Bombyx mori: one gene and its partner. The protein of the gene in region 2 binds, or shares a complex with, the protein of the main gene of each other region. Links are inferred from orthologs where the notes say so. Each region holds a gene or a part of one and is shown on either strand. Other genes may lie near its edges.

Evidence for each region. Proteins that work in one complex are often made in the same cells at the same time.
Region 1: pre-mRNA-splicing factor RBM22 (region 2) and pre-mRNA-splicing factor SPF27 share a complex: the UniProt entries of both Homo sapiens proteins name them as parts of the postcatalytic spliceosome P complex. The link is inferred for Bombyx mori from reciprocal best matches to the Homo sapiens genes RBM22 and BCAS2.

The regions. Positions count from the first base shown.
Region 1 is NC_085118.1:939,437-946,578, forward strand, and holds the start of pre-mRNA-splicing factor SPF27, read right to left. Parts: upstream 4,423-7,142; 5' UTR 4,279-4,422; intron 4,109-4,278; 5' UTR 3,966-4,108; coding exon 3,891-3,965; intron 3,183-3,890; coding exon 3,019-3,182; intron 2,207-3,018; coding exon 1,994-2,206; intron 648-1,993; coding exon 299-647; 3' UTR 1-298. Other genes in the region: WASH complex subunit 3, read left to right, coding at 5,482-5,538, 5,696-5,860, 6,244-6,516. UniProt on the Homo sapiens protein: Required for pre-mRNA splicing as component of the activated spliceosome. Component of the PRP19-CDC5L complex that forms an integral part of the spliceosome and is required for activating pre-mRNA splicing.
Region 2 is NC_085127.1:4,265,694-4,272,922, reverse strand, and holds pre-mRNA-splicing factor RBM22, read left to right. Parts: upstream 1-2,378; 5' UTR 2,379-2,554; intron 2,555-2,628; 5' UTR 2,629-2,672; coding exon 2,673-2,726; intron 2,727-2,797; coding exon 2,798-2,851; intron 2,852-2,922; coding exon 2,923-3,413; intron 3,414-3,752; coding exon 3,753-3,926; intron 3,927-4,432; coding exon 4,433-4,575; intron 4,576-4,810; coding exon 4,811-4,923; intron 4,924-5,310; coding exon 5,311-5,511; 3' UTR 5,512-5,591; downstream 5,592-7,229. Other genes in the region: WD repeat domain 61, read right to left, coding at 1-75, 150-167. UniProt on the Homo sapiens protein: Required for pre-mRNA splicing as component of the activated spliceosome. Involved in the first step of pre-mRNA splicing.

The sequences.
Region 1 (7,142 bases), on a different chromosome or scaffold from region 2:
ACACAATAATAATGATTCCTTTAGTATTTACTTTATAATGGGAAGTGGCAATAGCAATTGTAACTTTTGTTTGTTCTTAAACCAAATGCAATATTATTGAAAAGATTTTTAATGTACTAAATCAACAATTTTTTTTTTATTGCTTGGATGGTTGGACGAGCTCACAGCCCACCTGGTATTAAGTGGTTACTGGAGCCCACAGACATCTATAACGTAAACGCGCCACCCAACCTGAGATATAAGTTCTAAGTTCTCAGTATAGTTACATCGGCTACCCCACCCTTCAAACGGAAACGCATTACTGCTTCACGGTAGAAATAGGCAGGGTGGTGGTAGCTACCCGTGCGGACTCACAAGAGGTCCTACCACCAGTAATGACGCAAATTCTAATTTTGCAGGTTTCATTTTTATTCGATGTTATTCCTTCACCGTGGAAGTCAATCGTGAACAATTGGTTAAGTACGTATTTCATTAGAAAGATAATAATAAAATAACTTGAACGTACCTGTTGTAAGTGAAGTAGGGCTCTTTCAAGTCTATAATTGTCCGAGACAAGTTGCGCCCACCGTCGCCTCAATGCCCGCAACCTCGCACCGCTTGCTGTTTGTACGCGTTTACGTTCCCAGTTCACAGAGCCTATTTGTTTACTGAAATGTAATTATTGTTTTTAATAGACTGGACTTGTGTGTACACAGTAAAAAAATTAATTTTGGTATGGTCTAAATCCTTAATTCCCAAAGTGGTTCAGGTGGACGCCCAGGGGTCCACAGAATACTCAACGGGGATCTACATTGGCGTACTATTTTTTATATTTAACACTCCGAATAAGGAGTTTTCTAAATGAAATAAGTGAGAATTGATGGGTTCCTTGTGCTGTGAGTAGATATCAATAAAGTAAAGTTGGATGGAATCGCTTTTTTATTGGCAAACTTTCCATTTTTTACATCCATTCACAGCAGCAAAATCAATTGATAAATTAAACAATCAATTCTCACTTTATTTTTCGAAAACTATGAAATCGCGGTTGGAACTTAACCGCGACGCAAATTTTCGTACTTACATCTAATCTCCACATTTTTACACAGTTTTGGAAATATGGTAGAAACCTAGTTAGCAGGGGGTTCCCTTGCAACCAAATAAATGTTGAAAGTGGCCAACAGAACAAAACCTGGAAGCCTCTGGTCCAAATGATATACAGTCAAACCTGGGTAAGTGAGAACTGGATAAGTGAGAAAACTCTATAAGTGAGAGTAATAGCCAGGACCCGTCATTTTTAGCTCCTAAAACCTCTATTAGCGAGAAACGGAAACCTCTATAAGAGAGAGTATTTTTTCCCTCATGAACCTCCGTAAGTGAGACTGCTACTATTCTATACCTCTATAAGCGACAGTCGAGCTTTATTTATTTATATTATTTAGGAGGAACAAATGACAAAACAAATTACAAATTTAAAATCTGCTATTTTATGACCCATTCTTAACTTTCGTGGAACTTCTTAACATTGTTTTTGTATTGTTTTCTCGTCAATATTGAACCTATTCTATTTCGTGGAACTAAATAACGTTATTATTTTATGGCATTCTTTTCGAATGGACACGTGTGCCTGTGTACCATCTTGTTTGTCAGACTTACTCAGTTTATCGTTAATCAATTGCTGTCATTAAGTGATAAACTTAAAATAGTGAATTCGTTTGAATCCGTAAAATCTCTAAATGAAATTCAGAGGGAGCATTAGAGAGAAACTCGGGTTAGTGAGAAACCTCTATAAGCGAGAATGAGATTGTGCTCCCTTGAACTCTCGCTTATCCAGGTTTGACTGTAATAGTTTGGAGTTATATAAAATCCTACAAGCAGTTCTAACCTACTGTTTCTATGAAAGGCAATAAGGGTCAAAGCAACAGACAATTACTTCCCTAGGCTCTATAATCGAAGATAGACTCCCTGTCAAACTAACAACCATTTAAATATAATTTCTATGTTATACATCTCTTACCGTAACTGGTTGTGTTCGTTTTGAGCTCTTGTGACTAATGCTTGAAGTGTATTGAGGTATGATCTCCATGCTTCTGAACCGTACTCTAACTGCAACTCTAAATTGAGAACTCTGATAGCTTGGTGTGACAGCTGTGCATGAGAGTTGTCAACTGACTCGGCCCAGGCACTTGGTTCACTCATTCTTCCGACTGGAGGGGGTGGAAGTTCATACCTGAGGAATTAATTATACATAATATTTCAATAGTTTTTTTTTTAAAACCACATTCCTGTGCTTCACTACATCACGTGATCACTCAATAGTGATGTTTGTTAACATGACCAGAGGATTTGGCATATTAACAGTCAGCATCACAAGATACCACTTAGTAAAAGTTACAGACCTACATATTATATCTCCTCACAATCTTACTATTACTTCATTATCATCATGTTCATACTGTGGCATCAGTAGCCAGGCTGACTCAAATACCAACTTAGCTTACAAACCTATCAACTTAATTGAAGTCGTCGTGGCCTAAAAGATAAGACGTCCGGTGCATTCGTGTTGAGCAATACACTGGGTGTTCGAATCCCAGGCGAGTACCAATTTTTCTAATGAAATACCTACTAAACAAATGTTCATGATTGACTTCCATGGTGAAGGAATTACATCATGTAATCAAAATCAAGCCATTAAGCAGGCCGAATGCAGGCAGCATTGGAGGAAGCTGGTGCAAAAGCTGGACCAAGGTGGTCACGACCCTCAGTAATGAGGAAACGACAAAGAAGAAGAAGAAGAAGAATCAAAATCAAACCCGCAAGTTTTTATTTACGTAATTACTGATGGTAGGACCTCTAGTAAATCCGCGCGGGTAGGTACCACCATCCTGCCTATTTCTGCCGTGAAGCAGTAATGCGTTTCGGTTTGAAGGGTGGGGCAGCCGTTGTAACTATACTTGAGACCTTAGACCCTATATCTCAAGGTGGGTGGTGCAAATTAAAAGAACAAAATAATAAATAAAAAAAATTGCAGGTTTTATGCACCTCTTCATAGACAATGGTTCCATCGGCAATCTCTGTTGCACTCTTTCCATCTCTCGTTGTAAAGCAGGAGTTTCAAATGCAGAACTTGGTTCTGGTCCTGCATTTTCAAGATAGTTCTTTGTGGGTCTATAGCGTCTGCACTCTTCTTCCACCATGGCCAATGCCTGAAAATCAATTCCCATATTTAAGGGTAGTTTAAGGAGTCTTCTATAAGTAGGTTTGATTATAAGGACATTTTATACTGCAGTATCAATAAGAAGTGCTTTAATAATACTTTTTTGAGACAGCTTCCCAGTCACACAATCAATTATTACAATAGCAATGAAACAAAATAATAAAATCGTGAATTGAATTGAATTTGAAATTGACATTAAAATTGAAAAAGAATTGAAGCAAAAGTGCTTTGTAGCTTACAGTGTATGCAAAAATTCCTAGAAGTTCTGCATTTCCTAGACTGACCAAGATGAATATTACCAAAATTACTTCGTTTTGTATCACTCAATGCAAAAAGGAACAAACAGAAATCTAATTTCAAATTGATCTTTGGCAGTGGTCGAACCAAGACTATACAAATCGGTTTATTCTAAAGGTGAAATTATTCCATTTCGAAAAAGGAAGTCCTTCGAAATAGCATACATGTTCAAGAAACAACGAAAAAAAAACATTTTTATATAAATCTCTCAGCGGTGACTGCGCATTTTGAAGCAGACGAGAATATAACCCACATTTGTGAAGTGTGGTCGTTCAGACCAGCAATACCAAAATGATTATTGAATTTCTTTCTCTAGATGTCAAAGCTAAAGCGATATGAATCTTTGTTGTAAAGGAAATGGTCCAAGAATTAAAAAAAGTAAGGTTATCATAATACTTACAGCTTCTCTTACTCCAGGATCGTCATATCCTTGGTCTATATATGGTAATGCATCTACGACAACTTCTCCTGCCATTTTCTACAAAATTTATAACTCCCTTTACTACGAATGGGTACTGTGATTTATCACTTTATATTAAAGTTTTAACGCTGTTCTTTGTTTATTTGATTTTAGTTGTGTCACTTGTGTGACATTCTTCGTTTGAGCTAGTTTTAAGCCTAAAATGAACAGGCAAAAGAAATATAGTCCATATAGCTAAATCTTTTGAATTCCTCGATATTCAATAAATTGATATTAAATTAATATTATATTATAAAATGGAATTTAATGAAAGAAGAACACATCGAGTAGATATTAGATGAGTTGATAATGAAACAATGGTGCTTACTGAGAGATCAACGAACTTATTTTGAAAATATTCTCGAGTGGCAGCCACACACGACGCAGCTTAGATAGACTTTCGACGAGGTGAACTGACGTCCTACTGAAAGTCGCAGGAATCTAATAAATACGGTCGCTGCACGTCTAGGAGTGGATGATTTGTGTGAACACGTCCAATGTTTGTTTGATTTTTTAAAACTTGTGCCATTTCACATGTATTCAGTGATTAAAAAGCTTTCATTACTACAAAATTAGACATTTTATTACAGATACATTCGCGAAGCAGTTGCCCTTAGCTGTTAGATCTCCTACGGAGTCGTGGCCAGGTCAGGCCTTCGGTACTTTGGAGGATTGGCTTGTGCGGCTTTTCGAAGCCTGCCTTGAGCCCGGACGGAAATCGGACAGATTCATCCTTCTGAGGAAAGAGGAGCTCCTCTAGGAGTCATCCGTGGTGTACCACCACATCGTGTTGCTGGACGAAACTAGAAAATTGTTGGAGCAAGTCGTGGATGCGTCATCTGCCCCATCCCCAGGACGGGTTCCAATCGGTCAGCCGAACAGTACGGCTTCAGAAAGGGCCGGTCTACCATCGACGCAATCATGCGTGTGTGTACCCTCTTTGATGAGACTGTTGCCCGGGGCGAGGTGGCAGTTTCCTTAAAGTCTCAGTAAATAACCATCATTTTACTTAGATTTCACGCCAATTGATTATTGTTTCAAATTAATCAACTCTATTTCATTTTACTTCATATTATCATTTTTCATAAAATACAATGATAACTTAGGCTGTATCGTATGATACTTTTGCCTTTCCAGTTGGAAAAATAGAACTACTACAAATATTGACAGTGGACAGTAGCACTATTGTCAAAGAATAGTGTTATATTGATAAATGTAAATTAATGATAATAATGTCAGACTTAGGTGGTGGTACCGTACCTACTGTACCTACTGAAATATTCCTTTTAATTTGCTTACATACTCTTTTAACGTAAATAAATAGGTACGACTGTCACGGAAGGAAAAAGATTGTTATTGTAAAATAATTAGGTGCTTTTTATATTAAACTTAGTGTAATTAAAACTCGTGGACCTATTAGTCAATGTATTGAAATGTAATTCAATTTGGTTTTTTCAGTAGAACAAAACAAATTCAAGCTTCCAAACCACAAGACAAATTTCTTTTTCGTCTTGTTTATATTCTACTGAAAATGACCATCCAAGAAGATTTAACTCAATCCGAATCCCCACAAACGGATTTAACTAAGGTTTTAAATTTGGAATTATTATTATTTGTTGTAAAATTTAATGCAGTACAAACTTCACGGCCTTGATTATCTTTATAAACTTCCTAATTCTAGAAAACACAATATTTTTTTATAAATGAGAATAATTTATTTTTAATATTTAAAAAACAAATTGCAGGTTGCGGCATTACATCAAAAACGTACATTGGCATTTGTAAATCATTTCCTAACAATAAATGTACAATTTCTGAATAACTTTATGACGAATTGCGAGCAGAAACTGATGCAGTTTGAGAGAAAATTAGAAAAAGTTAATGCTGCCATGGTTTTGTTAGAATCTAAGGTGATTATATTTTTATAAATTATTGTATGTAAACAAAAACGGATATCTAAAATGTTTTTATTTTCTATCATTAGTCATAATAAACCATTTCTGCAAGACCTTCTCTGGAAAGCTGTTGATTGATCTGATAAAGTAAGAGCAGCCTATTGATATATTTGCAATGCATAAAGCTTCAATTGAATTAAAAAAAAAACGGTCTCCTACCAGATTAGAAATTAGACTACTACTAATTTTAAGATATGGCATCATTGCATTTCACCATAATCCTTATTCAGGTTGTGTTTATGCCATTTCTTTAATTGCCCATGTGCCTCAAAAACTTCATTTTAATTGATAGCATACATCAAACCGATACATAAATAGATAAAACTTATTGATTTCAGTTATCTTCAATACCAGAATTAGACATTCCTAAGCAGACAAATACAAGTAATGTTACAGAGACTGAATCTACTGAAAGTCAAAATGAAACAGAACTCCAAGAAGAAAATCTAGAAAGAAAACTAGAAGACCAAGCCCCAGCAGAAATGAAAACTAAACCTGAATATGATAAATTTGTTAAAATGGTTCAAGTAGGAGTGCCATTGCAGGCAGTGAAACTCAAAGTCTCGTTAGAAGGTCTCGATCCTGAAATACTGGAGCAATTAATAAAATAAAATAATATTTTATTATTTACATTATTGTGTTGTTAGCATAGTATGATCAAATAACCATAGTGTGTAAACCATAGTTTACTTTTATAGAACAAACAATAGAACAGTGTATTCTGTGATACCTCTAATCTAATGGGATCATAAGTGTAAAATTAATAAAATAAAATAATATTTTTTTTTTGTTTAATTGTAATCAACGTATAGTTTAGAAAATATTATCTTTTATCTATAAAAATATCATTCTAATTGTTAAAATTGTAATGTTTTTGTTCTTATCGTTTTAAATAATGTAATAGGCTCAAATATTTAAGTAGCATTCCTTAATATTTTTATGAAATGTTGAAAATGTTGTTTTTAATAAAGGATTTTATAATCATGCAAGATTATTGATCACATAGAGGTGGACCTAGAAAAAAATCATTAAATACTTCTGAAAGTTGATATATGCTTACTATTTTAATTAATTTATTTTGTGAAACATGTTGTATGCGATTTATTCCTTTTTTTGCAAATAAATAGTATTCTTATAGGGGTAGTAGGTGTATTGATTTATGAGAGATTTATTTGACGTAAAATTGGCCATGTCAGTTAGATTGTGTACAATCATGCTACAGAGATACTATTATATT
Region 2 (7,229 bases):
GGGTTCTATCCTACTCCAAGTACAACACCAAATTGCATCCTCGTGTGCATTTTCTTTTTTCAATTGTAAATAATACTGAAAAAAGGTTTGACTTAAAATCGGAACCGGTGTTTAATTACTGAAGAATTATGTACACATTTAAATTATACCAGAGTTGTAATGGACATGATTACTAGAAGCCCGAAGCGCGATCTTAAAACCTTTAGTTTCCTAATTAAAACAAATAGTGTACATTATTTCGGAATTTTCGAATTTTACAATTTTTTGAGCAACTTTTCATAGGTACCAATTAGGGATGTAACGCGTTTGAAGAAAACCGGAAAAACCGGTTTTATAGATAAATAAATTATTTAAGAATATCGGTTTTTAAAAACACGTTACATTCACAATTCACACCACTGCTAGCAGATCAAATATACAAACTACCGTGCTGCTAAATAAAAAATGCCGTGTTTGAGATTCAAATTACCGTGCATTACATTTAAAAACTACAGTACAGTTTGAAAAAAATACAATAGTATTAAATCAAAACTAAAAAGCTTTTTATTATTGGATAATATAAGATCATTAAGCTTATATAAAATATGCTCACCCTATTAATTGTATGAAGAAAACTCTTCATTTGCATGTAAATTTGTTTTATTTAATGATTATTTAGCCTTTATGGAAAAAACCTAAAAATACCTTAAAAAACCGGTTTTTTGAGAAACAAATCAGTAATAAACCTGAGCCAGAAATTGTAATTTTTAGTTTAATTTCTTGAATCAATGAGGCAAAAGAAACATGATTCATATGCATGTACGTGTGACATATATCTTGAAAGGTGGACAATTTTGCAATACTTGACGTGATAGACATTACTTATCTTTTCCGTAAGATTGGGAATATTTACTGATGCCAACCCAGACCCTACAGGAAGTCAATCAGACCCTCCAGGTTTCCGATCCTGACCAGTGATCTTAGAATCCTTAAGTATTTTACCCGCTAGCTTACAAATCTATTACACTTCAGTATGATACCGTTGCCCTCTGAGAAAACGCTTGTATCCACTGTCCATGATACTGGTGGTACGATGATTTGTTAGTCCGCACGGGTAGGTACCACCTTACTTATTTCTGCCGTGAAGCAGTAATGCGTTTTAGTTTGAAGGGTGGAACAGCCATTGCACTGTAAAAACTAAGATGTCTCGAAGTGGGTGATGGCATTTACGTTATAGATGTCTATGAGCTTCGGTAACCACTTAACACCGGGTAGGCCGTTGGCTCGTCAAAAAAAAACTTTGTATCCATCCGTGAAGATGGTTTGGTATTAGGTTCAAATTTGTCTCCTCAAGCAATAATTCTACTAATACTTTTCTAATTAATTTCTCATGTGCCCTCTCTCAGTAGTACATTTATTCGTTATGGGATTTTAGTTATAAAATTTCATCGTAAGATTTAAGTAATAGATCAATAACTATCCAGAATTAAGTATTCTATTTTTTTTATTGCATAGTTGGGTGGACGAGCTCACAGCAAACCTGGTGTTACCTGTTACTGGAGCCCATAGACATCTACGACGTAAATGCGCCACCCACCTGAGATATCAGCTCTAAGGTTTCAAGTATAGGGCTGCCCCCACCCTTCAAATCGCATTACTGCTTCACGGCAGAAATAGGCAGGGCGATGGTACCTACCCATAAGGACTCACAAGAGGTCCTACCACCAGTAATCATAATAAGACCTGAAGGTGATTATTCGAAATGTAATGAAAATTAATAGAAAGTAGTAAAAACAGAAGTTAAACACAGAAAGAACTCAAAACTCAAACAACCTGAGAAACATTGCTAATTCTACACTGTTTCACTGTTTCTGCTCAGCTCACCATAACATAACCTAGTACGGTTAAGTACCAAGAGTCTTTCTATTTCGCTATGAAGTTTTTTATTTATTTAAAAAGTGGAAAAAGAATGGAAACATCGACCTGGTGTTCCAACGCCGGCAGTGACGGCCATTTGACTTATAAAGCTGAAAACTGGAAATTGATATAGCATTTTATAGCTTCGTTGACTTGTTGAACAATTTTAGTCAAATTACGTAAGTGTTGTAGTAGTAGCAAATTAACGATATTAGTGATCTGAGGAAATGGCTCTTAGTAGCACCGCTCTTTTGATATTTTTTAATTCCTATGAAATTTGCATTTCCTGCAGAGAATTCCCCTTTTACTGAAAGATTATTTGAATTGATTTCCTTTGAAGTCCAAGTAGTTCAACTACTTTAGTCATAGAGTTTCTTAATTCTACATAGAATAGGCTTGGCTTTACTTTCCATTGCAAAAGAACTGTATGCTCTTGATTTCTTTGTCTGTTTAAGCGAAAAAAATCAATAATCTCTATGTTCATCCCAGTGTCGACTGTCGACGGTTCAGTGCCATAGATTATACACTTTCAGTGCTGTTCGTTCAGAGTGAAAATCTGTCATTACAAAATGAATGTTCAATGACGTACCTTGGTAACTAAATACTTTTGTGATTTAGTTGCATGTAGAAATGGGAAAGAAGTGTTTTGTTTGATAGGGTAATTTAAACTAAATTACATTTCAACTTTACAATACAAATTACATTTCAATTCAACAATTATTTTTGTCACAGTTAAGCTGCGTTGAATCTAAAATAATATCAAGAAAGGACACGCCATGGCTACATCGAAGTCAACAAACACATACAATCGTCAGAATTGGGAAGACGCCGTGAGTATATTGTTGAAGCTTATCAATTATCATTATCTCATTGTGGTAGTAACCATGTTATATTTTTGCAGGATTTTCCAATATTGTGCCAAACATGTCTTGGAGATAACCCTTACATTAGAATGGTATGTATTGTGGTTTCCGATAACATTATTTCGACAACTTTGATTGTTTTTTTTCATTTAACTATTTTCAGACTAAAGAAAAATACGGTAAAGAATGTAAAATATGCTCAAGACCTTTCACAGTGTTTCGATGGTGTCCCGGAGCAAGAATGCGTTTCAAGAAAACAGAAATATGTCAGACCTGTTCGAAACTGAAAAATGTTTGTCAAACATGTTTATTGGATTTGGAATATGGTCTGCCAATCCAAGTGAGAGATGCTGCATTAAAAGTTCAGGATGACCTACCTCGAAACGAAGTAAACAAGGAATATTACATACAAAACTTGGAGAGTCAGCTGTCTAACTCTGATCCAACACAGCCAACCAATTCTCTAAAATCTAAAGGATCGTCCGATTTGTTGGTGCGGTTAGCTAGAACAGCTCCATATTATAAGAGGAATAGACCGCACGTGTGCTCGTTTTGGGTCAAAGGAGAATGTAGACGAGGGGAAGAATGTCCGTATCGTCACGAGAAGCCAACAGATCCTGATGATCCACTAGCTGATCAGAACATTAAAGACAGGTTAGTCACATAAGTTTTCTGTACATCTGCTTAGTGAAAATAAAAATAAACACGTCTTTGTAAAGTGGAATTTTAGTAAATTGCATTACAAAAAGTCTTTCGATTTAAGGTATTCATAGATTTTGATCAATTATTCATTTGAGTTCCAAAAATGAACCAAATCCTGACTAAAGATTGCGAATTAATGAGGCTTAAGTTATTGAAACTCCATTGTAATAATAGTATGTGAAATAACAGCAATATCATAGTTGTTATTGAATATCTCTTGATATTTTACAGTAAATAGCTGTTAGTGTTTCTAAAAAAAAAGTTGAAGGTTTCATAATTTTTTATTCACAGGTATTATGGTGTAAATGATCCAGTAGCTGAGAAGCTTATGCGTCGTGCTGCTGCAATGCCTGCTCTACCTCCACCTGAAGACAAAACTGTTACTACCTTGTATGTTGGTAATCTTCCTGATAATGTCACTGAGGACGAGCTTAGAGGCCACTTTTACCAATATGGTGAAATTAGGTAAGTTTGACAAGTTAACACAACAAATAACAATGCTCTGGAAACAAACAGTTCATAGAAATAAACTCATAATTGTGTCTGGTGATATACACTGCATATATCTTAATTATGTTTTAATAATCTAAATATTTTTTTATTTAAATTATGCAGCTAATGTAAAGTATTCTCATATGTTCAGAGTTGACTAACTAATATTTAATTTAAGGATTATGTACCAAGTAAACCATAGTACATCCCTAGTATTATGGTTTTTAAAATAAGACCGATATCTGATTGGTGGTTATCTTAAGTTGCTACAACCATTTTTCTCATCAGTTCACAGTAGTATTCCCTTGTATTTTTTTATTATCTATTAATGTAATTGAGATTTTGATCATCATCACAAGGCTGATGAAATTAATGGTGTGATGTTGTCATTAGAAATGTGTGTATCATTAGAAAACAAATCACTATTCTAGACTTGTTTGATAAAATTAGCACTATGTTAGAAGTTATTGAATTTTCAGATGTTTGACTCTTGTACCTCGAGCCCAGTGTGCCTTTGTGCAATATACTTCAAGAAATGCTGCAGAACATGCTGCAGAAAAGACTTTCAATCGTCTTGTTATTTTTGGCAAGAGACTGACAATCAAATGGGGTAAATCGCAAGGTAACAAAACATTATTATTGCATTGTGCAAGTTTCTAAGAGAGTACCTGGTAACTACAAAATGTTAGAATACACTACATTTATGAAAAAGTATTCAATATGTTTTTTGCAAGTTATTTTCTGAAATGAGGTTTGTACTCAAACTAGTATAATTTAAAGACCTCAATCTGTAATATGATAGTAAAAGTTTATATTTCGTAATATTTATGAGTGTGTAATGTTGTTGTATATAACAGGACGACAAGGACTTACTGAGAAGAATGATGGTGTACCCATGTTGGAACCAGTTCCTGGATTGCCTGGGACGTTGCCACCACCCCCTGCATATTTACATCCATTCCCGCCACAAGTTAGTGTAAAAATGTTTTAAATTCTATGTAAAATATTTTACTTTTCTTCAAAGGATACTGAACAAAGCCTACTTTACTGGTGGTACTTAGCTTTACTGGTGGTAGGACCTCTTGTGAGTCCGCGCGTGTAGGTACCACCGCCCTGCCTATTTCTGCCGTGAAGCAGTAATGCGTTTCAGTCTGAAGGGTAGGGCAGCCATTGTAACTATACTGAGATCTTAGAACTTATATCTCAAGGTGGGTGGCGCATTTACGTTATAGATGTCTATGGACTCCAGTAACCACTTAACACCAGGTGGGCTGTGAGCTCGTTCACCCATCTAAGCAATAAAAATAAACAAAACTTAGAGACCGTATTTGTAATATTTTGTAAATTCTGTGTTCAGATGCCACCACCCCCGAACCGTCCGAACGATTTCTTCAACTTGCACCACTATGGTGGTCCGGGCTGGGGACCGTGGGGTCCGCCTGGCATGGCGCCGCCCCCGCCTCCGGCTCCGCTCCCGGCCCCGCTCCGCCTGCACTACCCTAGCCAGGACCCCGCGCGTCTCGGGGCCCACGCACACACCAACGCGCCGCAAATTTAGCAGTTGCTAATAGAATTCATAGTCATGAACTTTAAATTATGACGATGCTTGTTAAACGTGAATAAATCCAATAACTATGATTTGTGCATTGTTTGTTTGTGGTATTCTTTGTGTGAAATTTGAAAAATAAATTTAAGTAAGGTTCGATATAGAGTAGCCATTCCCAAAACGACCCAGTACCTTCAAGCTTAATACCTATAGAATAGTAAAATAAAGAATAAAAAAACGGAATTGAAGATGGTGGTGTGATCTAAATGAATTATTTTTAAATAAACGAGCACTGCTAAAGAAGATGGAAAGACGCCGTAACAATTTGCTAGTACTAGAGACCTTCATTCAAATTAAATGAAACTGACCTAACTAAAGAATGCTAGTAATGAAAAAGTTCTTATAAGTTTCTACATTTCTTTCATGTTAATATCAATAAAGGTTTCAAAGTAAAACAGATATTCTGAAACTATATTTATTATTAATCATAAGTTCATAACATTACTTAATTGTTACAAAACAGTTTAAACATTCTGATAAAACTACATTCCTTCGCTTACCATTTATTCTGGGTAAGGACGGTCTGTTAAATAATTTACATTAAACTAGGCCCAGATTACGTAATGAATCTTAATTAAGATGACGCACTAATTGTACGTCGCGACGATGAAACAATTTAAAAGCAGATTAATATTGGCTCAGAAAGCTGTTTAGTCGGTTGACTAGTTTTAAGAATATGCTCATATCCTAATTCTATACATATACATTATAGTGTTGTGCATCTAAGTCTCAGTGAAGGGCAAGAAGGATCATTCAGATTAACGGTAATTAACTATATATATATATATATATATATTTAAATGAACATCGAGAATACAAGTTACTACTAAATTAGAGACGTTAATAATTTATGTACACTTTGGAATGTTAGACACATCTAAAAGTTTAGTTTTAAAAATCGCTAAAGGTTTCGAACTCCACATCACAAATTATAATTTAGCATTAAACAGTATAGGGACACAAAAATATAGATATGCAAATATTGAGCCTGCTAAAATTCAATTGGTACATGTAATCGATACAATAAATATAAAAGTATTAAAAGCCTTGGGTGTTTATTGGATATTATTTTCTTAAAGCATATTTTGTAAGCTCTCGTCTCGTCCGGTAATAGTCTAATAATAATCGAACGTTGAATAAATGCGCTTTAAAATATGACATTAAAATATAAAAAAAATGCGCCAAATGAAATATTTCTAAGTACATAGGTTGCACAATATCTTACTAACTTACTGCAGCCGTTCATAATTATTTTCAGTATATATATATAGTATTTAATAAAATCTTATCTATAATTGCTGGAGTAATGTTAACATTTCGTCAAGAATAAAACAAATTACAAATAACAATAAAATTATGTTTGTATTAGTTTTACAATAGGGATCGCACAGCCAAGTAATAACAATGTTGCCGTTCAAGTATTTTAACGTGTTTTAAAGTGTTATTATGTTTCATAAATTAAGTGTTCGAGCTGTCCATCCTTATTGAAAGAAGGTTGTCATAATTATAGTCAATTATTAAAGACTTCGTTCACACGAATTGTTCTTCGATTTTGAATTTTCCATTCTTTTTTACCTGGGAAACAAATATGGTTTGTATGTATGGTGGTAGGACCTCTTGTGAGTCCGCACGGGTAGGTACCACCATCCTGCCTATTTCTGCCGTGAAGC